Callithrix jacchus: one gene and its partners. The protein of the gene in region 5 purifies or fractionates together with the protein of the main gene of each other region. This does not show direct contact. Links are inferred from orthologs where the notes say so. Each region holds a gene or a part of one and is shown on either strand. Other genes may lie near its edges.

What was found.
Region 1: the proteins of FGFR1OP2 (region 5) and STK24 purify together in Homo sapiens (affinity purification with mass spectrometry; 4 studies listed by BioGRID and IntAct, with this or other methods). This does not show direct contact. The link is inferred for Callithrix jacchus from reciprocal best matches to the Homo sapiens genes FGFR1OP2 and STK24.
Region 2: the proteins of FGFR1OP2 (region 5) and SLMAP purify together in Homo sapiens (affinity purification with mass spectrometry; 3 studies listed by BioGRID and IntAct, with this or other methods). This does not show direct contact. The link is inferred for Callithrix jacchus from reciprocal best matches to the Homo sapiens genes FGFR1OP2 and SLMAP.
Region 3: the proteins of FGFR1OP2 (region 5) and STRIP1 purify together in Homo sapiens (affinity purification with mass spectrometry; 3 studies listed by BioGRID and IntAct, with this or other methods). This does not show direct contact. The link is inferred for Callithrix jacchus from reciprocal best matches to the Homo sapiens genes FGFR1OP2 and STRIP1.
Region 4: the proteins of FGFR1OP2 (region 5) and PPP2CA purify together in Homo sapiens (affinity purification with mass spectrometry; 4 studies listed by BioGRID and IntAct, with this or other methods). This does not show direct contact. The link is inferred for Callithrix jacchus from reciprocal best matches to the Homo sapiens genes FGFR1OP2 and PPP2CA.
Region 6: the proteins of FGFR1OP2 (region 5) and PPP2R1A purify together in Homo sapiens (affinity purification with mass spectrometry; 5 studies listed by BioGRID and IntAct, with this or other methods). This does not show direct contact. The link is inferred for Callithrix jacchus from reciprocal best matches to the Homo sapiens genes FGFR1OP2 and PPP2R1A.
Region 7: the proteins of FGFR1OP2 (region 5) and STK26 purify together in Homo sapiens (affinity purification with mass spectrometry; 4 studies listed by BioGRID and IntAct, with this or other methods). This does not show direct contact. The link is inferred for Callithrix jacchus from reciprocal best matches to the Homo sapiens genes FGFR1OP2 and STK26.

What each region holds. Positions count from the first base shown.
Region 1 is NC_133502.1:14,170,682-14,174,181, forward strand, and holds part of STK24 (serine/threonine-protein kinase 24), read right to left. Parts: intron 3,421-3,500; coding exon 3,235-3,420; intron 699-3,234; coding exon 553-698; intron 1-552. UniProt on the Homo sapiens protein: Serine/threonine-protein kinase that acts on both serine and threonine residues and promotes apoptosis in response to stress stimuli and caspase activation.
Region 2 is NC_133516.1:39,559,933-39,563,444, reverse strand, and holds the start of SLMAP (sarcolemmal membrane-associated protein), read right to left. Parts: upstream 2,013-3,512; 5' UTR 1,659-2,012; coding exon 1,461-1,658; intron 1-1,460. Other genes in the region: uncharacterized protein LOC144579547, read left to right, coding at 2,013-3,002. UniProt on the Homo sapiens protein: Associates with the striatin-interacting phosphatase and kinase (STRIPAK) core complex, forming the extended (SIKE1:SLMAP)STRIPAK complex.
Region 3 is NC_133508.1:147,887,808-147,891,948, reverse strand, and holds the start of STRIP1 (striatin-interacting protein 1), read right to left. Parts: upstream 2,801-4,141; 5' UTR 2,787-2,800; coding exon 2,607-2,786; intron 1-2,606. UniProt on the Homo sapiens protein: Plays a role in the regulation of cell morphology and cytoskeletal organization. Required in the cortical actin filament dynamics and cell shape. Part of the striatin-interacting phosphatase and kinase (STRIPAK) complexes.
Region 4 is NC_133503.1:74,131,582-74,135,081, reverse strand, and holds part of PPP2CA (serine/threonine-protein phosphatase 2A catalytic subunit alpha isoform), read right to left. Parts: coding exon 3,476-3,500; intron 2,326-3,475; coding exon 2,236-2,325; intron 1,749-2,235; coding exon 1,587-1,748; intron 107-1,586; coding exon 1-106. UniProt on the Homo sapiens protein: Catalytic subunit of protein phosphatase 2A (PP2A), a serine/threonine phosphatase involved in the regulation of a wide variety of enzymes, signal transduction pathways, and cellular events.
Region 5 is NC_133510.1:44,307,404-44,311,554, forward strand, and holds the start of FGFR1OP2 (FGFR1 oncogene partner 2), read right to left. Parts: upstream 2,801-4,151; 5' UTR 2,552-2,800; coding exon 2,362-2,551; intron 1-2,361. UniProt on the Homo sapiens protein: May be involved in wound healing pathway.
Region 6 is NC_133523.1:45,575,234-45,579,424, reverse strand, and holds the start of PPP2R1A (serine/threonine-protein phosphatase 2A 65 kDa regulatory subunit A alpha isoform), read right to left. Parts: upstream 2,801-4,191; 5' UTR 2,727-2,800; coding exon 2,649-2,726; intron 1-2,648. UniProt on the Homo sapiens protein: The PR65 subunit of protein phosphatase 2A serves as a scaffolding molecule to coordinate the assembly of the catalytic subunit and a variable regulatory B subunit.
Region 7 is NC_133524.1:127,632,449-127,635,948, reverse strand, and holds part of STK26 (serine/threonine-protein kinase 26), read right to left. Parts: intron 3,151-3,500; coding exon 3,088-3,150; intron 3,007-3,087; coding exon 2,870-3,006; intron 1,816-2,869; coding exon of another isoform or gene 1,791-1,815; exon of another isoform or gene 1,760-1,790; coding exon 1,714-1,759; 3' UTR 1-1,713. UniProt on the Homo sapiens protein: Serine/threonine-protein kinase that acts as a mediator of cell growth. Modulates apoptosis. In association with STK24 negatively regulates Golgi reorientation in polarized cell migration upon RHO activation.

The DNA of each region.
Region 1 (3,500 bases), on a different chromosome or scaffold from region 5:
ATGAGTTCCCAGGCTCCCACTTCCTGACACATCCCTGGCCCGACTGCCTCCCCAGCCTTCCCCACACAAATGGCTGCAGCCCCACTTTGCCTCTGATGCCAAAGGAATTCCTAGATGCCGAACTTGAAAGCAGTTCTCCGTAAGTCACTTCCTGGTACAGAGCTTCTACCAGACTCAACAGGGAATCACAAAAACATGCATTTCTAGCCTTTCAGGTATTCATGTGATACAATTTCACCTTGTCAGGATTTTAAGAACATGAAGTGTAATGGAAAACAAGACAGAACAGAAAGAAACAAAACAGAACACAGTGAAACAGCCAGGTCTGGACCCCTACGCACAGCTCTAAGAGTTCCCTCGAAGAAACTCCACTGACAACATCAAGAGGCTAAATGATGCCCAAACAGGCCCATGCTGTGTCTAACACAACAATCGCCACCAACCTGGATTATCTGAAAAAAACTCAACAAGAAACGAAATGCACACCAAACAAGTGACAAGGACCAGCGGCTCCATCCTACACCATGCTTGGGCCACCCAGGGGCCACTTACGCATCAGAATCCTCAGAGCTTGAGTCCTCATGGCTCTGCTCCGCCTTCCATCTCTTGTACCTGTCGATGAGCTCGGTCAAGTAGGAAGTTTTCTTTGCATTGCGTAGGATAAACTTGTGCTTCAGTAACTCCCTAGCAGTGGGTCTCTGGAAAAACACACACAACAACCCAAGTATGAGATGAAGCTCTCCATCCCCGCCGAAAGGACACACTTCAGCCTCAAAACATCAGCCTGCCTGATGACTGGACTCCACTCCACAGCTCTTCTCACTGTGACTCGCCCCAAGATGAGAGTCTCAGGACCTACGCCTGGACTCCGGGTGCTGTGGTGGGCATGGCACTGAGTTTCCAAGGAGGTCCTTAATATTCTACAGGTAGCCATCCAATGAAAGCACAAGAACTTCCCCCAGATAAATGCACTTCCACAGAAAACTCTGCACAGAACTTCAGAGGGATTATTCATGAGAGCTTATCTCCTAATTTATAAAATACTTTATGACAAATGCTGACAAAATACTTGTTCTGTGTCGCTTTTACTTTTTGTTTGAGACAGAGTCTTGCTCTGTTGCCCAGGTTGGAGTGCAGTGGTGAGATCTCGGCTCACTGCAACTTCTGCCGCACAGGTTCAAGCGATTCTCCTGCTTCAGCCTCCTAAGTAGCTGGGGCTACAGGAATGTGCCACTACACCTAGTGTATTATTTCTATTTTTGCAGAGATGGGGTTTCACCATGTTGGCCAGGCTAGTCTCAAACTCCTGACCTCAGGTGATCCACCCTCCTCAGACTCTCCAAGTGCTAGGATTACAGGCATGAGCCACCGTGCCTGGCCGCTTTGTTAACTTTCTGTATTAATGTTTGACCACATCCAGACACATAATAGAAATGTCAATTTGGAATTATCTCAAAGAAACCATAAGGGAGCCAGCAGATGCCCTTTTTCCTGTCTGTTGAAAGAGCGGGGTGCTCTTCATCACCCACTGTCCCAGTTTAGAAAGGCTGTTGCCCAGGTCCCTCCCTTCCCTTGTTATTGGGCTGAGGACTTCACCCATGCCCTGAGCTCAGCATGGCCACCGCAAGCAGCACCCAGCCAGCTACCTGCCTTGAAGATGGTGACAGTGATAGGGAATGTGCTTCCCAAGGAAACCAGCTTGGCCCAAATTGGAACAGACAGAAGGAACACCCAAACCCCAAGTCAAACCAAGATCCCACTCACTCCAAACTACGAAAGCTTGATTACAAGAGTCAAGCACATTTTCAGATTCAAACTCGTGAGAAACCTGATCACCTCAGGTATTCTCCCTCTCTGTCCACATGAGGGTAAAACCCCAACTACCCCTGAGGTGCTCATATTCTCGCCTCTCAGCCGGCTCCTCAGTAGCTGTAGGGTGGAGCGGTGTGTGCTGGGGAATAAGCTCGTATTAGACGCATGCTGTGCATGGGAAGGCATGCCTGCAAGCGGCCGCATCTCCACCAGTGCATGGTGGGTGCAACAAACATCATCATGCAATAAAATGCAGAGCATCATGGCACGTGGGACAAGCCTCACCACTACCTCACGCTGATGGGGTGATCAATCACTGGCGTGGTGGTCTCCGGCTGCATCTCCTTAGAGGTGCTTAGAAAATGTTGCATTCTGGCCAAGCACGGTGGCCCACACCTGTAATCCCAGCACTTTGGGAGGCCGAGGCAGTGGATCACGAGTTCAGGAGATCGAGACCAGCCTGGCCAACAAGGTGAAACCACATCTCTACCAAAAATACAAAAATTAGCTGAGTGTGGTGGTGCACGCCTGTAGTCCCAGCTACTCAGGAGGCTGAGGCAGGAGAATCCCCTGAACCCAAGAGGCGGAGGTTGCAGTGAGCCAAGATCACGCCACTGCACTCCAGCCTGGTGACAGAGTGAGAATCCGTCTCAAAAAAAAAAAAGAAAATATTGCATTTCCCACTTAATTCCTTTACCAAAACCGGTGTATTAGAAAACCACGGTGCTCTTGTAAAAGTAACCACCCATTTTTAATTAAGAGTTAGGAAAAGGGGTGCTCAGATTGGCCTTCAGCTGGAAAACTCAAACAAATCAATGACATACGGTGCTGCATCCAACACCGACACACACTGACAACTTTCAAATAAATGTCCTAATTCAAAGAGAAAACAGGGCAAAGCCAGGCAGTCGTTACTGCTGTAAGGCTCTGCCAGAGTCCATTAAACCTAAAAAGAGAAGTGGGCAGGAAGAGGCGGGGATAGCAAAGAGGGGCTTGGTTGTATTTGTATTTTCTAATCTTTTGTTTCCTAACATATGCCATCTGGAAATTGAAAACATTTACTTTAAAGACATATTTAGCCACTTATTTCCAAGCTAAACTTTCCCATTCCTAAAAACAGTGTAACAGTTTATGGCCTGATCCTCTATCGATATTAAACTTTGATGATTCCACATTTAATATTAAGGAGAATATTCTTCAGATTCAATGAAGTATGAGATGGTAGAAATCTAAAGCAAAATAAGGAAATTGCTAATACTTATAAAATGTATTTGCAAACCAAAGAGGTCAATCATACTTATTTATAGAAAAAGAAAAATGAGGAATTCCATGAAGACAGCTGAAAAGAAATCCCAACAGGATGTATCTAAACCAAGTCAAAACTCACATAGGGAGGGATGTTCAGATCCCCAGGAAACTTACAAAGCTCGGCTCCTTATTCAAACAGGCCTCCACAAACTCCTTGAGGGGTTTGCTGTAGTTTCCTTCCAATGTTGGTGGGTTGTTCTTTGGAATGAGGAATAAAACTTTCATGGGGTGCAGCTCGGAATGAGGTGGTTCCCCTCTTGCAAGTTCAATAGCTGTTATGCCCAGGGACCAGATATCTGCCTGCAACAAGAAAAGCACCTTTACCAACACCAAGCAGGAATCAATTCCAATTAACAATATTTAGGGGAAAAACGGTAAAC
Region 2 (3,512 bases), on a different chromosome or scaffold from region 5:
TGCAAGTAAAAATCTGTCAAAAAAAAAAAAAAAATATATATATGTATATCAAGTAATCTATGAAGTATTTTAGGCACCCCTAACCAGCTTGGGGGAAGGGTCTGTTCCACAGGTAAATGAGGAACTGGTGTTACACAGAAAAGTTAACATACTCTTCAGTTCTCATGCTACACACACAATATAGATATTATGGAGCACACATAACTCGGACAGTCTTTTCCTCCTTTCTTTAAAAAATAATAAAATATTTCCTTAAATCAGTAGCTGCCAAAGTTATCATTTTTTTCTCTTCCTTTTGAGGCTCAGGTTTCTTTCACTTCAAAACATATTCTTGAAGACTTAAGTTCTTCCTTTAAGAAAGATTTAATTATTTAACTCAGAAAGAAGGGGCAAAAAGTCAGGAGGTGAAACCTGAGACAGTCCTATTAGTCTTACATAACTTAAAGTTGGAACTGATTCAGTAGCTCGGCTAAAAACCTGAGGTTTAGGCACTAAGACGAGCTCTTTAGTATACTCTCCACAAACATAAATAGTTTTTAAAAATGGAAATGATCCTATCTTTTTTCTTCATTCTTAAAAGCTCATACATGTATAGTAAGTCATGATACTAACGCAAAAATGCTAAAAATGGTTACACTTAAAATGAAAAGCACTGAATTCATCCTATCACATTTAAGTAACACTATAATTGAAAGACTAGGGTGTAATTTCAGAAAATAAGTTCACTTCCTAACACTAACTTTTGCATAGCACCTCTGTAAGTATGCAATAAGTACTTAATAAGTGCTGCAGGGAACATCAAAAAGTGATTTTCAAATGCAATATATGTATGTGCAACCAACTTGTAAAAAAAACTCTCAATATATATAAAGTACAGTTCTCATGCTTAATTAAATTAGCTTTGATTATTGCAAATGATTCCTTCAAGAGCAAGTATATAGCAAACCTTTCAAAAATCTTAGGTTTACACCAGCAACTGTCCTTACTTAGAAAGGTCTTGATCTGAACTCAACTAAAGCTATGTGTTAACTACATTTCACCACAAAGACACCTGAGCACCAGGGTAATAATGGCCACGGATTCCCCGAATTGCTTTGAGAACTGCTGCTTGCTTAATAAAGAGCTGAACTGTGAATTCACCTTTCTCAACAGACTGAAAGCAAGACGCCAAGTTTCACAATCTAGTTTGGGATTTCTCTGGGAATGACTACGTTATCAAGATGCCATAGCTCTCCTGAGGCTTTTAATTACAATACCTTCTCTGTTTTCCATTCAACCACCTCAATCAAATTTCCACTAGAACCAGGCACACAAACAGTTGATTCCTGGCTTTGCGCAAAGCCTCCTGTGGATGCAAAGCCTGGGATCCTGCAAAAGTCAGGCCTTTCAGGGAGGGCAAAGGTGGGGTGGGGGAGGAGTTTGTTAAACAATGCAGTTGGACAATGTGGTGGTGACATTACCTTGCCTGTCTTGTGATCAAACCAGACGAGAGCGTGGTTCCTTGACAGCACTTTGCAATCAAAAGTGGCATTATTCTGCGCTGGTCGACAGCGGGCCACTGAACGGCCGATTTTGATGGGCTCGTCCAGGTAGACATGACGCTCCTGAAACGGGTGCGAGTTTGGGCGGCAAGTGAAGATGGCCAAGGCTGACGGCATCGAGGATAGGCTTGGGGTGTCTCTCCTACCAGGGACAAAGAGGAGTTCCTCCGGATCCGGGCTGCCCTTCACAAGCCTATACCCCTATCCCACCCAAAATTTTAAATTAAAACAAACTGCACATTGTCTATGCATAACCAGTGAACATCAACAACTCTTCACTTGGGTGGGAAGACAAGCCAGCGCAAGCCCCATCACCTCCTCCAAAACCCAGCAGTGCCCTAATCACGAAAAGTCCCCAACGGGCAGCTTTCAGTCCATCTTCCTCTCTGGGAAGAAACGGCTCAAACATCGGGCAGCTTCGGCCAAGAAAACTCCTGGAGCACAGTTTGGGGACTGGAGGTATCCAAGCAGATGAGTCACACTCCAATTCTTGTGTTTGGTTTGAGATCGCGGCCGCTTTTCCCCCTCGGTGGCGGAAACGCTGCAGCACTGCAGCATGAAGGAAGGGTCGTGGTTCGGCGCGGCCAGGAAAGTCCTTTTGGGCCGAAGGAAGGTGTGGCCGGGCACCTCCGGGCAGCCACCGCCCGTGCTCGCCCGGAGTGGAGGGCGAGAGGTGACGGAGGCGGAGGGGCTCTAAACGGCCGGCGGGACAGTCTGCATCGCCCCTGCTGCGCGGAGGCCGCCCCGGGAAGGGGGACTCGGTCCCCGGCGTGGCGAGGCGGCAGTGCCTGGGGTCCTCAGCGCGAGGCGTGGGGGCCGGCGGGGCGCGAGCAGTGGCCAAGTCGGGACTCCTGGGCACCTGGCGGGTGTCCCCGCGACCAGGGCGGGGACCCGGCTCCGCAGGCCGGTGCGGACCGAGCGAGGCGCGACACCGGGAGGTTCGGGTTCTCGGGCGGCAGGAAGTTGGTCCCCGGACGCCTGGGCTCCTGGTCGCCGCCGCTCAGCACATGGGCCGCCTCCCCTCAGGGTCGCCCCCGCGAGGGTCGCATCTCAGGGACAGCAGTCGCAGCTCCGGGCGGACGAGAAGGTGGGGGAGGGAGACTGGCCCGGAGGTTAGGGAGAGGCCTGGAGGCCCCGGGCTGGGTCCGCCGCAGCCTCCACCGATCACGGCCAATGGAGCAAGCTCAAGCTGCGCCGGACGAGGCAGGAAACTTTCCGACCTGGTGGGGAAAATATCAAAACAAACGGCCGTCAGGCGCCTCAGCCCGCCCGCCTCAGCCCTCGCCCCCTCCAGCCAGACCCCCGCCAGCTCCCACCGCTAGGCATGACCTCCGCCGACCTCTCCACAAGCGGGCTGCGAGGATTTGGAGGCAGGACGCCACGACGGGTTCTACCTCCCTAGCCGCCACCGCCGCCTCAGCTTACCTTGCCAGCGCCGGCCGCCATAGTGACTCTGACTGAAACCTACCGGGTACACCGCCACGGGAACGCGCTCCCTTCAAGGGCCCTCCTACCCCCTCTCCCGCGCCGTAGTCCAGGAATGTCACGTGAGCGACGCCACGGAAGCCGTGTTGGTCGAGGGCAGAAAAACGGGCAAGCTAATTTCTAACGCGCCTCTAGGCGCCATCTTATTTAAGGGCTGGAAGCTTCAAACCTCGGGACAACCACAACGACCATTTTCGTTAAGGGCAAGAACAATTCGCGCGCTAGAAGATTTTCGAAACAAACCGTGCCACCTTCTTATTTTATCTACTTGGAAAGGAGATGCCAACCTTTGCTAAATTTTATTCGCTTTAATCCTCGATGAAAATACTAGTGAGCAAAAAGCAGAGGCGGCCAAAGGAGATGGTCATAAGCAGCCATCTTAGCTGTGGGCAACAGAGTCGCCCGCAGCCACCTTAAGTGTGAGCAGCCAAATTCCCTCAAGTCTTAGGATGTTCGCCTAACCGAAGGACCATCCTCCCCTCTGCT
Region 3 (4,141 bases), on a different chromosome or scaffold from region 5:
GCCAGGCATGGTGGTGCACACCTGTAATCCCAGCTACTGGGGAGGCTAAAGCAGGAGAATATCTTGAGCCCAGGAGGTGGAGGTTGCAGTGAGCAGAAATAGAGCCACAGCACTCCAGCCTGGGCAACAGAGGGAGACCCTGTCTCAAAAACAAAACAAAACCACTCCCACAAACAAGAACTCCACACTATGTTCAGAGACAACACAGTGTACACTCACACAAGTTACTGAACTTCAGTTACTTCATTCATTGAATGGCAATTATGAAACCCTACCTTGAAGATTTTTAAGGACTAATCAAAATTATGTAGTACACAGTGGGCTCTCATAAAATGCCAGCCTCCCTGTCCTCCAGGCATTCACTGATCAAGCTCCCAACTACAGATTTCAGCTATGACTAAAGGAAGATCACAGCATCAGCCTCTTTAAAGAAATGGATTTAGCCAGGCACGGTGGCTCACGCCTGTAATCCTAGCACTTTGGGAGGCCGAGGTGCATGGATCACCTAAGGTCAGGAGTTCAACACCAGCCTGGCCATCATGGTGAAACCCCATCTTAAAAAAAAAAAAAAAAAAAGAAATGGATTTAGACAGGTCTCTGCTTAAATGTGTCCATTTGACTGGTCTTTCATTAAATTAGTCTATTCGGAAATGTATGTATGTATGTATTTGGAGGCGGAGTCTCGCTCTCTTGCCCAGGCTGGAGTGCTGTGGCATGATCTCTCTCCGCTCACTGCAACCTCCACCTTCCAAGTTCAAGTGATTCTCCTGCCTCAGCCTCCCAAGTAGTTGAGACTACAGGCCCCGTGCCTCCATACCCTGCTAATTTTTTGTATTTTTAGTAGAGACGGGGTTTCACCGTGTTAGCCAGGATCTCCATCTCCTGACCTCGTGATCCGCCCCCCCTCCCCGGGCTTCCCAAAGTGATGGGATTACAGGCGTGAGCTACCACACCCGGCCTCTATGTGGAAATTAAGGGGTAAAAAGAGAAATTAAAATTCGTCAAAGGGTATTTATTTGACCATTCATAGCTACTTAGGAAAATTTAAACCGTTTTTCAAAATGATAACTCCTCTCATGATGAAGGAAGTTCACTACCCTCCACTTTAGTAATCCTCTCAAGCCTGTAAACCCAGCATTTTGGGAGGCCGAGGCGGTGGATCACGAGGTCAAGAGATCAAGACCATCCTGGTCAACATGGTGAAACCCCGTCTCTACTAAAAATACAAAAAATTAGCTGGGCGTGGTGGTGGCGGCGCGTGCCTGTAATCCCAGCTACTCAGGAGACTGAGGCGGGAGAATTGCTTGAACCCAAGAGGTGGAGGGTGCGGTGAGCCGAGATCGCGCCATTGCACTCCAGCCTGGGTCACAAGAGCGAAACTCCGTCTCAAAAAAAAAAAAGGAAAAACTGAGTAGTTACCACTGATGTCCATCATCCTAGCATGCAAGGGCTCCTTAAAGGTCAGTTTCTTTGTTTTTTCAAATTATTCACTCTAAGCTCAGATTACTTCTACTTTGGGGTTGCCAATTGTTGACACGTTTTATCAGGGGTTTAGGCTTGCTAACAAAAACAAAAGCTTGTGAGGAACTGATTTCACAAGTCTAAAGATAGTATCATTGCTCTATGAGTACATTATGCTTGGACAATGAGGAATTCCCTCTCATTAACTTGGCTGATTCGCTTGGGGGCTGATTAACATAGGAGATGGCATAGTAAGTGCTCTGGGAACGTGCTGATTAAGAAGCCCTAAAACGCCCCGACATGTGTATCTTCATTCATGAATTCTGCAGAGGAAGGCAGTGGGAGGAATTCTTTAACTTGGGGTGAGGTTACTAGTCGGCTCCAGACTATGCCATCTCCAGAACGGCAGGAACTGCTCACTAGAGAGAGAGGAAGGAATGCTGGGTCCTAATGCATGTTTTAAAATGTCTATTTCTCATCTTTAACAGTTCAGTATCAGGCGCACTGGGCAAAATACCCACCAGAGGCACTGTCAACCCATGGCCCGATCCGGCTCAGGTCAGAAGAACAAGGCATAGTTTCCCCCTCCTACTCTCGGAACCTCCGGCAGCGCAATACTCTCAGTGATAACTATCTCGGTCTGGCCTTAAGTGCCTCCTAGATCCTCGCCGGTGCCTTGCCTGCCCACACGCGCCGTCCTCTGCGCGCGGCACGACCCAGGAGCCTGCGCCCCAGTACCAGGGGCAGAGGCCCGAGAGGTTTAGAGGTTGGGGGCGCGGCCGCCCAGCGCCCTGGAGTGCACGCAGACCCCCAAATTCCCACCCGCGAGTTGGGGTGAAGGAGGCTTCCCAGGGTCAGGGGCCTCGAGGCCACGCCCACAGCCGGGGCCCAGGAGAGCAAACCAGCGATCGCAGGCTCCGGGACGCTCTCCTGGGCGGCGGAGCTCGAGCGGGGACCCGGGCTTCATGCCTCTGACCCCAGGAGCTGCCAACCTCGCTTCCTGCTCCTTTCGCTGTATAATGACAGCTCCCGGCCGGGCTCTACCGAGCCCTTCGGGAAGCCCAGCCTGGCCCCTAGAGCGGCCCAATGCCCGGGACCCCCGGCGCCCCCCGCCCGGTGCGAGCCTCGCCCCCGAAGCTCCTGACCTCCGAGTCTTTGCGCTGGTTGCGGTTGAACTCGCGGGCTTTGCCCCCGGGCAGGAGGCCCGCGCCGGCCCGCGGTCCCCCAGGTGGAGGCTGTGCGGTTGCCGGCGGCGGAGGTGGCGGAGGCTGGGGCTGCTTGTTGTTCACGATCAGTGGGCCCGGACTGCCGGCTGCCGGCTCCATCTTGGCTGCTCCACACCCCCAGCTTATTTCGCGGACAGCCGCCGTGATGCAACTCTCGCGTGATTTTCTCCAGGAACTTTACCTGGTCGCCATATTAAGTGTGGCGGCCTGCGATAGAAGCCATCTTGGCTGACCAGCACGATACTGTCTGCAGTTCTTCCCTTCTTGATCTTTTTAGTTTTCCTCCCTTTCAGTTTCAGTTTCAATGTAATTGTATTTGTGAGGCTTCCCTTAGCTTCTTCAGTCAGTTTAGTCACCCCTCCTTCCTCTAAATCGCTTTGCACTTATCGAAGACTTGTTCAAGTCTTAGGCGGTATTTTGTAAAGAACAAAATGGGTAGGATCCTAGTCTTCACAGAGTTACAGTTGTGATGAGTGCTAATCACTCATTCAACAAACATTGAATAAATGTCTCCTGTGTGCCAAGCGGTTAAGATAAAATGAGGGACAAGTGTCTGCAGTCATGGTACATAACAGTGCTTGGTGGGTCCAACAAACAATAGACAAATATAGAGAAATAAATGCTGAAAAGTGTCAGAGGAAAATTTGCTCGTGAAACTAATTAAAGATGGTAAGGCAGACGTTATGTCAGAGAGCCCAGGTGATAGTTCTAGAGACCGCTACAACCAGACCTTGCAGTGAAGAAGAGGAATTGAACTTAACTCTGACTCCAACAAGAAATAGTAGGGATTTATGATCAAAAAGCAGGATGAGAGTCAGTGGACAGAAAATTACTAAGAGAAACATCAAGGATAAGAAGTTTCTTGCTAAACTGACCTAACAGGATTATTGCTGAAAGCAGGATAGGGTGCTAAGATATTGAGGGTGGTCAGATACCAAGTGTTATGGTTTGAATGTGTCTCCCAAATTCCATATGTTGGAAACTCAATCCTCAAATTCATATGTTGATGGTATTTGGAGGTGGAGCTTTGAGGGGATAATCAGGATTAGATAAAGTCATCAGGGTAGGGTCCCTGTGAGGGGACTGATGACTTTATAAGAGGAGGAGCGATCTGAGCTGGCCCACGTGCTCTTGCTCTCTCCCTATGCAGTTTAAGAAAGTCCTCACCAGACCCAACCCCTTGACTTTGGGCTCTCCAGACTCCAGAACTGCAAAAAATAACTTTCTTTCCTTTAGAAATTATCCAGTCTTTGGTATTCTGTTATAGCAACAAAAAAATGGACTAAGACACCAAGAGTGGAGCGTTCTTGCACAGACTGGGTTCGACAAGGCCAGAAAGGGAAGCCCAAGGGGTTGGGCCCAGTCAGGCAGAAGACTCACAGAAGCTAGCCTAGAGCTTTGGCCAAAGAAGATGATCTTTGTGAGAAGAAACAAAAATAAATATAAGAGATTAG
Region 4 (3,500 bases), on a different chromosome or scaffold from region 5:
GAGTATCATCAAGTTCCATGATTGCAGCTTGGTTACCACAACGATAACAATAGTTTGGAGCACTGAAAATCGTTACTACATTCCGGTCATGGCACCAGTTATATCCCTACAAGGAAAATGAGATAAATATCTTACTTTACTCCCTTATTTACAACTAAATGTTACTTCACTCAAGGGAAAATCTCTACTCATTCCCACCCCTGCCAAAGAGGCTTAAGAAACATTAATGCTTTTTTTCTGGATGACTTATGAATTTGCGGTAATAATAATCCCTTTTCATACAACCTGTAAATATCCCTTATACAATCTGTAAATAACCCTTTTTATACAACCTGTAAGACACACATGTATTTGTTTTTCCCCTAATTATAAAACTCAGTTTTTTAGTACTAAAAAGGAAAAAAAAAAAAGCCTTTAACAAACAACACCAACCACCGAAGAATAAACTGCTTCTTATGCATCTGACTTGCTGAAAATGGTAGTGTCTCATTAGCCTCTTCTACTGCAGTGGCCTTAAAACCTGATTTAAGAATAAGTATTTATGTGGCCATTCCCTAGAGAGGTAGACACCTAATCCTGGAGACCATAACCTCACTAATTTTCTTGTCATAGGTAAAGGCCTATTAGTGTGTGGTTCACTGCCCAGGAACAAATGAGACATGCCTCTAGTCTTTCCAGCCTTGCTTCCTCAAAGTCCATCCATCTGAATGTACGAGCTACTTCTGTTACTTTTTGTTTAGTACTGTTCACAAATTTATCTTTAGCAAAGTCAGATTTTATCAATACCCACAGAGTTATACTAGTATTAAACTAATTAGGACTTTATTTTTTAAAATATGCTCATCAGTGTGCCATGTCAAGAACCTTAGCCTTGGTCAGGCACGGTGGCTCCCGCCTGTAATCCCAGCACTTTGGGAGGCCAAGGTTGGTGGATCACAAGGTCAGGAGATCGAGACCATCCTGGCCAGTAAGGTGAAACCCCGTCTCTACTAAAAATACACAGATTAGCTAGGCATGGCAGTACATGCCTGTAATCCCAGCTACTTGGGAGGCTGAGGCAGGAGAATTGCTTGAACCTGGGAGGTGGAGGTTGCAGTGAGCCGAGATGGCGCCACTGAACTATAGCCTGGCAAAAGAGCTAGACTCCATCTCAAAAAAAAAAAAAAGGAACACTAGTCTCTTTCCAATCACCTGTAATCCTACTAACCAAAGGACCATTTAAAACATTTTAGTGTATTTCTTTCCAGTCTCTCCTACACACATACATGTTAAATATATGGAATAAACAGTGGGATAATAAAATATTATACACACACTCCAACTCCCTACATCTTACTTTCCCACTCTTAAATCCCAAAGCACTTCCATTCAGAATTCTCTGAAAACATGTTAATGGTTAATTAATTGTAATCAAAAGCTTGAGCTTTTAATTCTTGTGTGCCATCTACTGAAAAGGCTCAGGCTGTAACGGCAAACTCATCAGAAGGAATAAATGGAATTTCTCACAAGTCATTAATTTAAAATTCCCTAATATCTTTCCTTAAGTTTACTAAGAAGCAAGTCGTATTTCAAAGAACAGAGCATACCTCCATCACTAGCTGGTGAGCTCTAGACACCAACGTGAGGCCATTGGCATGATTAAATGTCTCAGATATATCTTGTCCAAAGGTGTAACCAGCTCCCCGAGGAGATATACCCCAACCACCACGGTCATCTGGATCTGACCACAGCAAGTCACACATTGGACCCTAAAAAGTAACTTCAAGTTATAAACTGCCTTTAACAAACATGGTTAACACAGTATTTGAGTAATTTAACAGAAGCAGCACCTAAGTCACCCTTTTTGAGTGATGTTTGTGGAAAATGCTAATAGATTGTACAACTGAAGTCACACATCTGCATCAAATAAGATGTATTTTCTAGCAGTCTTTATGAGACACAGCTGACATCCATGGGACCCAACAGCAACATGCCCTATTAATCTGCCTATATTATGCAAATTTCAGAGCTATGAAACAGACAACCTAGGTCCTAATAAACCAAGCTCCATAGCTATTGTGATCTTGGCAGATTTCTTAATGTCAGCTTCTTCTGAACAGGGCAGAAAGAATGCTCACACCTCAAGTTGTTTTTGAGAATTAAATGAGAGAATACATATAATGAACTAACTTACAATTAAACTTCTCCACTCCCTAAAATCTTTTCAGAAAACGTATTATCAAATAAAAGTCATACCTCATGTGGAACTTCTTGTAGGCGATCAAGTGCTCTGATATGATCCAGTGTATCTATAGATGGCGAGAGACCACCATGTAGACAGAATATCTGAAACGAGTGGTTTAAAATGTTAACCTCACCTAAAAAATTGGTAAACATTCTTGGCTGGGCACAGTGGCTCATGCCTGCAACCCTTTCGGAAGCTGAGGGAGGAGGACTGCTTGAGGCCCAGAGTTTGAGACCAGCCTGGGCAACACAGCAAGACCCTGTGTCTCTATAAAATTTTAAAAAACTGAGCTGGGTGCCCCCATCACTGGGCCCCACTGGTGTTTCTGAGCTCTGCCTGAATGAGGGTTGACTCTGCAGGGTACATCTTTGCTCCAGCCCACTCTGAACTACTGAGTACACTCCCATTCTTCCTAACAGACCATTGCTGTCACACCCAGACTCCACCTTTAACAGCTCCTTTGAGAAAACTTCTTGGATATTACTCCTACTCCCTGCCAGACACTAACGTCTTCACACTCAAAAAATTTTCTTGTAAGTTCTTTTGTGTACACATCTACCTAAACCAATAATTAGCTCCTTACATCTCCCAGGCTTGTCCAAAAACAGTCTGAGAGGATATACGGGTTACACCATCCACCTCTGTGATCCCACCATATAGTTCAGTGCCTGATATAAATAATAATGCACTTAAAAAACCGGACACAATTATTTGTCAGATTAAAATTTTTTTAAAGTTTGAATGAATGTTATCAATTTCTACTAAACTATATTCCCAAAGTGGTGTAAGAGTGGAGTCAGCTGGGTACAGTGGCTCACACCTGTAATCTCAGCACTTTGAGAGACCAAGGCAGGTGGATTACAAGGTCAGGAGTTCAAGACCAGTCTGGCCAAGATGATGAAATGCTGTCTCTACTAAAAAAAATACAAAGAAATTAGCCGGGGACCTGGAATCCCAGCTACTCAGGAGGCTGAGGCAGAGAATTGCTTCAACCCAGGGAGGTGGAGGTTGCAGTGAGCAGAGTGTGTACCACTGCACTTCAGCCTGGGTGAGAGAGGAGGGAGGGAGGGAGGGAGGGAGGGAGGGAGGGAGGGAGGGAGGAAGGGAAGGAAGGAAGGAAGGAAGGAAGGAAGGAAGGAAGGAAGGAAGGAAGGAAGGAGAGAAAGAAAGAGTGGAAAGGGTCATGAGCACCTCAACATTAAAGAAAGCAGAGTCTGAAATAACCAGCAAGGAGTTTTAAGATCCACATACCTGCCCATCCACCAAGGCAGTGAGA
Region 5 (4,151 bases):
CTGAGCAACACTAACCTTATACTGTCATTTGGGCAAGAGGACAAGTTTTATATCCATTTTACCAATGAGGAAATAGATGCATGGATTCCAAATCTAAAAAGCCAAATGATAGCACCACAAAGCAAGAAAAGAGCCAAACTAGTCCCAAAAATAGAACTTCTGATCCCCAGTCCGGTGTTTTATTCTTGAGCCAAGTTGAATTCCCAGGGTCCTGTTTGCTTTTTACCTATATAGAAACCACCTCAAACTCATTAGGTGGGGGGAAAAAAAGCAAATTCCCTCATCCTACCCCACAAACGGAACATGAAAGATATTATGAAAAGTTTTTTGGGTCAGCAATAGAAAAGAAATAAGAATGCATATGAAATTTTAAAGAATAAAAAAAAGTCAAATGTTTTCCAGACATAAAAGCCTAGCAAACCATTTTAATTAGGTGTCACAGTTAATTATAAGATCAATGAATGTTTACGGATGGGCTTTTTAAAAATCGTAATTAACATCCGATTTATGAAAAACTCTTCTCCAGACTGCATAATGAAATACAAAATGAACTACATTTAAAATCTGTTTTGTTAACTATAAAAACCTACCTATTCAGGGAAAGGAATTATAAACAGCAGATAGCTTAAAGCATAATTTTATTAGCAATTCAGAAAAACAATGACAAGAGTTTCTAAGAATTTGCATGTTCATTTCCTGTATGTGAAACCACACAAAAGTTTGAATATTTTATAATATGCATTTACTTTATCACCTTTTTTGAAGACCATTGTGCTTCCCCTCTTTTTTGGCCAGGAAGTAGAGTAGGAGGAAGACTGTTTTCCAAACTCTCTAACAAGTTTCAAATTTTATAAACAAACTTCAGTAAAAAAGGAATATTCTACACTTTTCAACCTGTTTTTATAGTGCCTATCTTAACTAGCCATAATACACTTACTTACATTATTTTCTATAGGTAGTTTCAAATTACAAGTGAATTTTTTTTAACCAAGTTTAAAAAAATTTTTTTTCTTTTCTGTGTTAGTCATATTCTCGCCCACTTTACCACCCAAAGACTTTCGCAGTCAGACTTCTGGCAGAAGGTTTAGAACATTCTGCTGCTGATAAAAGAGAAACCACCGCCCACCCAAGACAGCAATTGCCAGCTGTTTTTTGGTTAAGAAAAATTTAAGGAAATTCAAGTCAAAATTTTTAAGCCAACCACAGAAAATAAATGGGAATATGTATGAAATATAAGAAAACTTTTAAAGAATAAAAAAAATTTCGAATGTTTTCCAGATAATAAAAGCCTAGCAATCATTTAAATTAGGCATTACATTAATTATAAGATCAATGAATGTTTACAGATTGGAAACCCTTCTGTTTCCCTTAACTGCAAGTAAACTACACCTACCACTACAGGAATACAAAGAAATATTCTGACTACTGATATACCCTAGATGTGTCTTTAAATGTCAAGAATCTAGTTTAAATTTTTTTCATGTTCAAGTTATTCGTCTCTGATATTAAGTAGTACATAATATGAACTGACCCATATGAAAATAAAAAAATTTAAAATATAGTTATGGTTTTCATAGAAACATAATCATAAGAAAGAAACGATGCATACAAATTACATATAAAAATAAGCACTGATACAGGCATATCATTGTATCTGAAAGCAAAGAATATTTTCACTGTCCTTGAAAACAGTGCAATGAATACATGTTTGGAACTGTATTCAATTAATTTTTAAAGTTGGAAGAAAGACTTTGGAAGTAATGGCGCTGGAGGATTTTTTTTTTTTAAATACACGTTCCCTTAGAATTGTGGCTGAATTTAAGTTTCATATTCAAACAATTATGACAATTCAGGAAGGAACTAACCTAATCTAAACCAGTTATTTCTAACCTACAGACTAATGAGTCAGTGGAAGAGTTGCCTGAATGCACATACTCCAAGCACTGTCTGTAGTCTAAAACATTTCTGCTCCATTTTTCTAACATAAACAGATATTATAAAAATAAAATACAAAGTCATTTAAAAGCATAGTAGTTTTCTGTCATATATAATTTCAATCAACAATTACTAAAAGTACAATTGCGTAAGTGTAGGATTTCTTAAATTCAAAACAGATCAGGGGCCTTTAAGCTAATGCACAAAGTTCCTTCTGGCTCCAAAATTCTTTGATATTAAAAGATGAAGAACTCTTAACGGTGAATTCTTTAGCACTATTCCATTTCTATAAGCATACATAGGTACATATAAATAATGCTTACTACGAGCCAAGCATTGGACTCTTCGTCAGAGATGAATAAGACATGATTCCAGACCCAGGTTCAAATTGGCAGGAGAGACAGATACATAAACAAATAATACAACCTAATAAATACTGCAGAAGAAATGTTTCAAACGCGTTGGGAACACAGCGGTATCCATTCACCTGCGGGAGTCTGAGAAGAAAAAATTTATGATTTGGGTTTTGATAGGTGGTAAAACAGAGGAACAGTAAGCGTTCTAGACAGATGGTACCGCACGTACAGAAGTACAGAGTTGTCAAAGTGCATGGCATGTTTGAGGAAACAGCCAGTATAATCTGCTATGGTCAGATATTAAAGCAAGACTAAAAGGTAAAATGGATTGGGACAGACTGTAAAAGATCCTGAATGATGATGTACTTAACAATTAGGATTTGATTCTGTCAGCAATATGGTTACTAAAAAGTTTAAGGAAAGAACAGAGATAAATATGTATTTTAGAATAACTCTATGGAAGGATTATAGTAGGGAAACCAGTGTAGTAGGGCAAGGGGCAACTAGAGTATTTCTGGCGAAAGAAAAAATAATACAGTGCAGTGAGTGGAAATGAAGAACCAAGAATAATTCCTGGTTTTCTAGTTCGGATAACAGGACAGATAAGGAACCATTATCAGGGATGGGATACAGAAGGACGACAGGAAGAGAACCAGAACAGAGTAATGCTCCTTGGAGAGCAGTTTCAAGAAACAAGTTATCTTCATTAAACGCTGCTAACAGGTGACTGAAAGGGTCCCCCGTCCGGTGGTGAGCTCGCAGGTGGGTAAGGCAGGAAGAAAGCAGATACGGAAGATGTGTCCACAGGGTTAGGGCCAAGGCTTTTCATTAAACTTTCTGAACCGCAGCTCCATTAAGAGGAGCTCGGAGCCGGGGGACACGGAGAAAAAGTCCGGCTCCCAGGAGTTGGGAGCCCGCGGCTGGAAGCGGCCGGGAGCTGGCGCCGGTGGTTCTAGAGGCGCAGGGCACCGGCCTCAATGAAGGACGCCCGCGACTCGCCCACCACCGCTCCTGTCCCTGGATTTAGTCTACTTACTCTCCTTTTAGTCCCTCGCAGGCGTCAGCTGTGGCGATCCAACTCAATGCCTCAACCAACCCGGACGTATGCACCCAAGGGAAGAAACTCCTCGCCCCTAATCCGCCTCCTCAGCGAGCAGACGCAGAACCGGACCGAGGTGGCAGGGGGGTGGCCGAGAGGCCAGCGGTATTCAGCCCCATCACCGACTGGGGAGACACCTCCGCCGACCGCCTCCGACCGTCGCTCCCGGAGGACTCCAGCCTCGCGAGATTTCCTTCCTCGCGTTACGGTGAGGCAGAGCCGACCTCTAGCCGCTTTGCGCGAGCATGCGGGGCGGGGCCCTTTTATGTCCCTCCCTGTCCTCCCCTCTCAGGTTTTCACTCGGCCTCTCGCAAAGTCTCGCGATTTTTTCCAGGGGAAAGCGGCCTGGGTGGAGAGACCGAGAAGGGGAGACCGAGTGGGTGGGCCCTACGTTTAGGGTGCCGTGTCTGGTTTAGCCAGTACTGTGGTTGGTACTTCGCTGTTTGGGAGGCTTTCAGGTCGCCCAGATCCTTCTTCCCAATGGGTGACTGGGAAAATTAGCGGGTAGAAAATCTCGAGGGGTGGAGGCGTGTTTTTTTCTCCTTGGCCCCGCCCTCTTCCTGTTCGGCGACTGAGGCGCCTGGCCCTCCGAGGGGGAAGGGAGGCTTGGTGGGGTGGTGGGGGTGTCCATCGGAGAGCGCTGTGCGCACGCGCGAGCCCTAGTGTGTGAGAGTGTGCACGCGCACGCGCGCTCCTGCACTTAGGAAGCCTGGGAAGGACCGGTGTGCTAGGAGATGATCGGGGAAAGCACAGTCCCCTGT
Region 6 (4,191 bases), on a different chromosome or scaffold from region 5:
GGCGGATCATCTGAGGTCAGTAGTTTGAGACCAGCCTGGTCAACCTGGAGAAACCCCATCTCTTCTAAAAATACGAAAAAAAAATTAGCCAGGGGTGGTGGCGCATGCCCAGTTACTCAGGAGTCTGAGGCAGGAGAATCACTTGAACCCAGGAGGTGGAGGCTGCAGTGTGCCAAGACTGCATCACTGCACTCCAGCCTGGGCAACAGTGGGAGACTCTGCCAGAAAAAAAAAAAAAAAAAAAAAAAAAGGGCCATTACACATCTGCTTCCTCTTCCTCGGAGGCTCCTCCCCACCTTCTTTCAGTCTCTTCTCAAACTCTGCATCCTCAGAGGGGCGTTGCCCGAATGGCCTACTTAAAATGCATCTGCCCCACCCAACTTTGTAATCCTGCTTCCTCTGCCTTCAGGTGTGTTCTCAAACATCATCTCAACAAGGCCTCCCCAGACTACACTTTAAAACTGCATCTCCTCTCTCTCTTACTTTTCTCCCTGACACTCATCCGCATGTAATACAGTATACTCTTCGTTTACTGTCTGTCTTTCCTCACTACAAGGTAAACTCCCCAAGTGCGGGATTTTTTGTCTCGTTCCCTGCTATACCAGTGCCTAGAACAGTGCCCCGCACAGAACACTCGCCCAATTCAATGTGGATTCACTACCACAACATCCTGTTTGTTCCCTTCCCATCACTTTTCATTCAGCTCTGTTGGCCTGTTTCACACGCAGATCCTGTAGAGCAACTGGTGTCTCCACTACACCCCCAGCATCATACCTGATACACGCCATGTGTTTACTGAACAAAAGAATTCATACGGCCGGGCGCGGTGGCTCACGCCTGTAATCCCAACACTTTGGGAGGCCGAGGCGGGTGGATCATGAGGTCAGGAGTTTAAGACCAGCCTCACCAATATAGTGAAAGCCCATCTCTACTAAAAATACAAAAATTAGCCAGCTGTGGTGACATGCACCTGTAGTCCCAGCTACTCTGGAGGCTGAGGCAGGAGAATCGCTTGAACCTGGGAGGCGGAGGTTGCAGTGAGCCAAGATCATGCCACTGCATTCCAGCCTGGGCGACAGAGTGAGACTCCATCTCAAAAAAAAAAAAAAAATTCAATACAACAGCCCTATGAACTACATAATTATCCCCAATCAAGAGAAGAGCAAACAGAGGCCTAGAGAGATTAACTAATTTGTCCATGTCAATCAGTGAGAAGTGGAAGGGCCAGGAGTACAACCACGGTCTGTCTGCCACCAGAAAGTGATATACCAGGAACCTAGGGATGGGACCCACGTTTTGTAGGTTACCCAGTGCACTTGTTCAATTTTATAAACGGGAAAACTGAGGCCTAAAGGGAGGATGGGACCTCTTTAATCACCACTCCCAATAAGTGCAGCTAATATTTATCCGGCCCTTATGGCAGGCCTGACAGCACTCAACTTTGTGTCATAATTCATTCAGCCCTTCAACAAGTCCCTCCAGCAAGACGAGGGCTACAATTAGCCCACATTTTATGGGACAGAGGCCCAGAGCGGTGAAATAATTTGCACAAGGTCACACAGCGGGTGGGAGGTGAACTTGAAGTCCTAACTGTTTTCAATCCCACACCACCTTGGGCCACCTCATCCCATAACCAGAAATGTTCACCCGGGCCGGGCGCGGTGGCTCACCCCTGTAATCCTAGCACTTTGGGAGGCCGAGGCGGGTGGATCGCCTAAGGTCAGGAGTTTGAGACCAAGCCTGGCTAGCAAAGCAAAATCCCATCTCTACTAAGAATACAAAAATTAGTTGGGCGTGGTGGATCGCGGCGGTAATCTCAGCTACTTAGGGGGCTGAGGCGCGAGGACGACTTGAACCCGGGAGGCGAGGCTGCACTGAGCCGAGATCGCGCCTCTGCACCCCCACCTGGGTGACACAGCGAGCTCGGTATCGAAAAAAAAAAAAAATTAGGAAGAAATGTTCATCGGCTTAGCAAAGCCTTCGCCCCCTATCCTGGTCAATGGGAGGATCCGGGGGTGGGGAGGCAGCTTTCTACAATGTAATTCGCCCCTAAATTTGGCTAGTCCCCACTTTTTGGGGGGGGCGCTGTTTCTGCATCCCCCTCCTCTTAGGACACCTACACCAAAATGAGAAGCGTAGGAAAAGCAGGAATTGCGATGGCAGGCTTTCGCCTCTCGGTCCCCACTTGGCCCAGGAGTATAAACCCAGAAAAGAAAAAAAAAACAAAAAACTCTCCAGGTCCCGATCCACCAGGCGGCCCTCCCCCACTCGGAGCAAGTCACGCGCGCCCCACATCCCCAAGGGACCATTCGGAAGCCGCCGCCAATCACGGAGTCCTCCTCTCTCCTCTCCCCAACCCAGCCCACCGATCGTAGCCCAGGTCGCGGCCTCCCAGGACCCAGGGCCACCGCGCGCACTCTGCAGGCCCGGGACCCTCGAGGCTGGCGCTGGCCCCCGCCCTCCGCTGGGTCGACACCCAATCGGGGGCGCCGTCTCAATGAGTCCGGGCACCCGGGGAGGTAAGAAAAGCACACTGATTGGCCGCCGCTTCCTTCCGCCACTCCCAGCGAACGCTGAGTCTTCGCGAGTGCTGCCGGTGTCCCAAGATCCCCCTCCCCACTTCCCTAACTCCCCCGTAGCCTCCGGACCTGAACATCCTCGTTGCGGAGTTCGTCTATGAGCACCGCGATGGGGTACAACGAGTCGTCGCCGTCGGCCGCCGCCATCTTGGCTCCGTCCCGTTCCTGTCAGACTGCGGCCAGCGCTGTGCTGAAACCCGGGGCAGAGCTGGGAGGAGGAGGAGGAAACGCGCGCGTGGGGGCGCCCAAGCCAGTTTACAGGGGCTGCTCCATGGTCATTGGCCGCGCTACGCCGGGCTAAGCCCGCGTTTCTTTGGTCCAGACTAGTGAAGTCCCGCCCATTTCCCATTTGCCATTGGTCGATTGAACGAGATTTGACTAGTTTGAGCCTAGGAGAGCGAGAAAGAGGAACTTAGCGGTGTCCTAGCGACCAACATTGTACCCGCCCTCGTCTCCGCTGACAACGACCGAGACGAGCAGTTGTTTGTAGCCAATGAAGGGCGAGATGGGGAGGAGGCTAAGCCTGCCTTTCGGTAAATCCCGGAGGCTTCTGCGCGTGCGTCGATGGTAATACATGACGTCATGTGGGGAGCGGTAGGGTGTGCAGGTTTTGGGTTATCAAGCCGTGGTTCCATTGGCTGGCGGAGTGGCCCCCCCCCCGCGCCTTTGCGCGGGAGGAGAACGGAATGAGACTTTGTATTTATTTTATGCCAAGGCCTAGAGAAGGGAGTGACTTGCCCTGTTCTCTCTCTTTCTCTATCTTTTTTTTTTTTTTTTTGCTTTTTTAAAGACATTGTCTCGCTGTGTTGCCCAGGCTGGAGTGCAGTGGCGCGATCTCGGCTCATTGCCGCCTGGACCTCCCCAGTCTGAAACGACCCTCTGGCCTCAGCCTGCAGAAAATTTTTGTAGAACCGAGTCTATGTTGAGCTCAGTTGTCTTGCTCTTTGGATGAAACCCAAACCCCTCGGCTGGTATCCAATACCCAGATTACAGGCGCGAGGCATCAAGCCAGGCCTAATCTCTGTTTTTAACCTCCCTAAACACATTGCCCCCCCCCCACCAACCCACCCACTGAAATCTTAGGACCACTGTAACTAAGGGAGTTGGAGGGATGGGAAGGCCTGGGATGCTCTTTCCTCTTTCATTCTGCTACGCTTGAAGGGCTGGACTGAGCTAGCGCTCTGACAGGTCTGAATGCCCCCAGCATCTTTTTCTTTCTTTTTTTTTTTGAGATGGAGTCTCAGTCTGTCGCCCAGGCTGCAGTGCAGTTGCCTGATCTCAGCACAGTGCAACCTCTACCTCCCTGGCTCAAGTGATTCTGCTGCCTCAGCCTCCGGAGTAGCTGGGTAAATTTTGTATTTTTAGTAGAGACGGGGTTTTCACCACTTTGGGCTAGGCTGACCTCAAACTCCTGACCTCAGGGTGATCTGCCTGCCTTGGCCTTCTAAAGCGAGCCACCACACCTGGCCTTTTCTTTCTTTCTTTTCTTTTCTTTTTTTTTTTTTTTTGAGATGGAGTTTCGTTCTTGTCACCCAGGCTGAAGTGCAGTGACGCGATCTCAGCTCACTGCAATCTCTGCATCCCAAGTTCAAGCGATTCTCCTGCCTCAGCC
Region 7 (3,500 bases), on a different chromosome or scaffold from region 5:
TATTTTCCAAACCCCCAAAACACTGGAGTATGCTTCACCTAGAAACAGTTTACAGGACTAAAAGCTATAATGAATAAGCAATACAATTTGTATTTGGGATGCAATTGTGTTGTAAAGTTTCAAATAATCAATTTATAGATTTGCTGCTTTTACTTTTATAAAAATATTCATTTCACCCATGACATGACTTGCACAATGATTTCCAGACTTCTACAGATTATAAACTCTAATTGTGTTTCAGTTACACAGCAGGTGAAAATTTTAACTGAACCATTACTTCAAAATACAATGCATTAAAAGTAATTGTTACAGTATAGGTACTAATGAAAAGAATTTCCTTGGCACATAACACCACAACTTTCTCAAGTATCTATGCTATGTAAAAAGAGGATGCAATGGCCACTTTGACGAAAAACTATACCTTACAGGAGGAATAGCTTTCTTCTAATATTTGTCAATTACTCAGATTTAAAAAAAATGACTTTTGTGCAAAAACCAAATTGTGCGGATCCAAACAACAAAACATTAACTATCAAAACTAATTAATATCAATAATTCTACAACTACTGAAATGTAGCCCCAGTTCAGAACTTAGGCAGGCATAATATATGTACTGGGCTTAAAAGAAAAAGTCATCACCCACTTACAGTACCATAAATACAAGTGAAAATTAACTGTGCAATCTAACTTGCCTTTGTGTGGACAGAAATCATCCTGTAATACGGTTATTTTCATATGAACTAGAAAATGCTCACTTAAATATCCTTTTAAAAAAAACTTATGCTTATTACTGATAATTATGAAGAACAAAAATATATAAATAGTTTATAGGACAATTCACTATCATGACAAAAATATGCTGGTATAAGTTATATTCATACCTGTTGATCAGGTATTTAATCACATGACAATCAGCTTTATTTTTAGTCTCTCCAAATCCAAATAGATAGTACGGGATTTTAGTTGAAGATGTAAAACATGAAGCCAGACTAACTCCTCCAACATTACCAAACACCTATCCTTGGCTAAATGATTTTGCTTTATATTTCTAACCATGTTAAATAAGGGTTAAAATTGCCTCTTCTACCTAAAAGAGAATGTAAATACTACACACCAAGAGGTACCGCTGTTGCTGTACGTTGCCTGTAAATGCTTCAAACACAGGGTCTCAAATGTGATTATCATTGAGCTTTGAAATATCATGCCAACTTGGTAGAAGAGTCAATACTTTTACAGGTTTCATTTCTAAGACGTTATTAAAAATTTGTTTTAAGAAGATAATTTCACAGGTTGAATTTCTAAGACTTTATTAAACATTTGTTTCAAGAAGGACTTATTTACACCTCCCGCCAATAGTCATTTTGAGAATATGCAAGGCTTTTTTTCAAATAAGCTTTCTGAAACTTGATAATTTACAAAAGTTGAATATTTAGAATGACTTTGAAAGACCTGTATGTTTCAGGAGTGTAGAGTTAACTAAAGGTCAAAACGTGAAAGGTATTCATCCTAGTAACTTAAGAAATAGTGATACTCAAAGCCAAACGGTGTCTCAACATTTACTAGAATACAGGTGAAACTATAGTATTAAAAGTTATTCCTTACAAAATAATCCTTTCAAAATATAAAATGATAAACACCATCGCAAAATAGTTGAATAGCTTCTTCTAAATCTTCAGTGTTGCAAAGATCCAAAAGGCACATGGAGCTCACGAGTTAAACATTGTTAAGCTTGAAGTAGTTTTGGTGGGTCTCTCTGGTACTGTATGAAACAGACATCAATAATAAGTTTCTTAGGGGGATTCGTCTGCTGAACACCTGTAAAATTAAAAAAAATGTAAACCAATGTACAACTGTGCATGTTTATGTTTCTCCTTTGTGTGAACTCTGCAATGAAGAAACTGATTCCACAAAGGGGATATATTATTTCTATGGAATTTCATCATGTAGATGTTAAAATATAAACAAATTCAAAAATCCCTTCTGCATCTGATTTCATAACTTCCGATTGATTTGTTTTCAAATTGGAAAACAAATGAGAGGTTTTCGTTAAAATATAAGGGATTTTAAGAAGGGGTTAGGTTTGCAAGTACAAGTGAGCCTTATCAGATAGAAAGATCTTTGAGAGTGTGTCATTTCATAGGTCACAGAGTTTGTTCCAACTCGATCCCAGTGGCATCATAAACACAAAGCTACATGAAGATGCACTGAGAAGAGATATAACAGGGTTAAGGCTAAAATTAATATCACCGTATAGCTTGCTCGAGCTAAGGAGTGTGTATGTGTATGCATGCATACAAAAGTCTGGTGGAAAATTTAAAAAAAATTAAATGTAAGAACTTTTTGTTCAGTGTGAACAAAATCAAATAAGTATTTCAAGAGACAGCACAGAATCTGAAGTTGAACATAAGAGCCTTTTCTTGGTCTAGATTGAGTCCCTCTACCTTTTCCTTAACTTTTCATATGGTAGTCAAATGCAGGAACTTTAGCACTGGAACTATGCAACTAGTGGTGTTTTGTTAAATTCTGAGGGTCGTGGCAAGAACGAAATAATACCCCAATAACGTTTATAAGAGCTCAAATGAGAATATGCTCAGTGACCTTTTGTCTGTACTCCTACTAGATAAGAAAGAAAAACAGGCCATTTCATGTAGTGGAAAACTATTTTGTTATGCCTAAAGATAATAGTTCTGAAAGCTAATGTTTAATATAGGCAACAAACAAAAACTGTTTTTAAGAATACGACTGTGTATTAAAAGGTGACTTTGTTATGACTAATTGGAATGTTTGAATCAAGGGAATTACATTGCATCATAAATTAACACCCAACAGAAAATGCAAAATAACTTTCTAAATGACATTTCCAACTTACTTTTGAAATTTTTCGATTAGTTTCTTCACCATTTTATCTGTGATGCCGGGACAGGCGGCTTCAGCCACAGCAATACTTTTCTCGAGTTCTTCAATCGCCTGATTCCTGCTAGCATTATTCTCGTCCTGCTGTTTAAGCTGAGAATGATTAATAGTTAAAACGTTTAAAATATTATACTACTTAAAACAGATATCCAAGGCTAATTAATCTGTACTTACTTCAGCAAATGCAGGTGTGATTATCATAGACAAACAGCTCAGGGTTTGCACAAGATCTTGCTCCTTTGAATAAATGATATACATTATACACATGAACTTAAAATAATTGTCCTCATTTTCTTATTCTTTAACAAATATGAACCAATTTGAATCCCCACTGAAAACAAAAGACTCTATGTAAGGCAGGTCTCTAAGCTTTCTTCCTATCACTCATTCCCATTAAACATCTGGAAGTCCCAGAAGACCTCTAACTTCTGGGATTACAATAGATACCTATGATTCCTGGGCTTATGTATCTCCAGGTGAAATGTACTTAAAAAAAACCAATATACTCAAATAACTTCCAATTACCTTTTCTTAATTAGTTCAAAACTAGTGACAAATGAAGCATACTACATACACAGTGAGGCAGA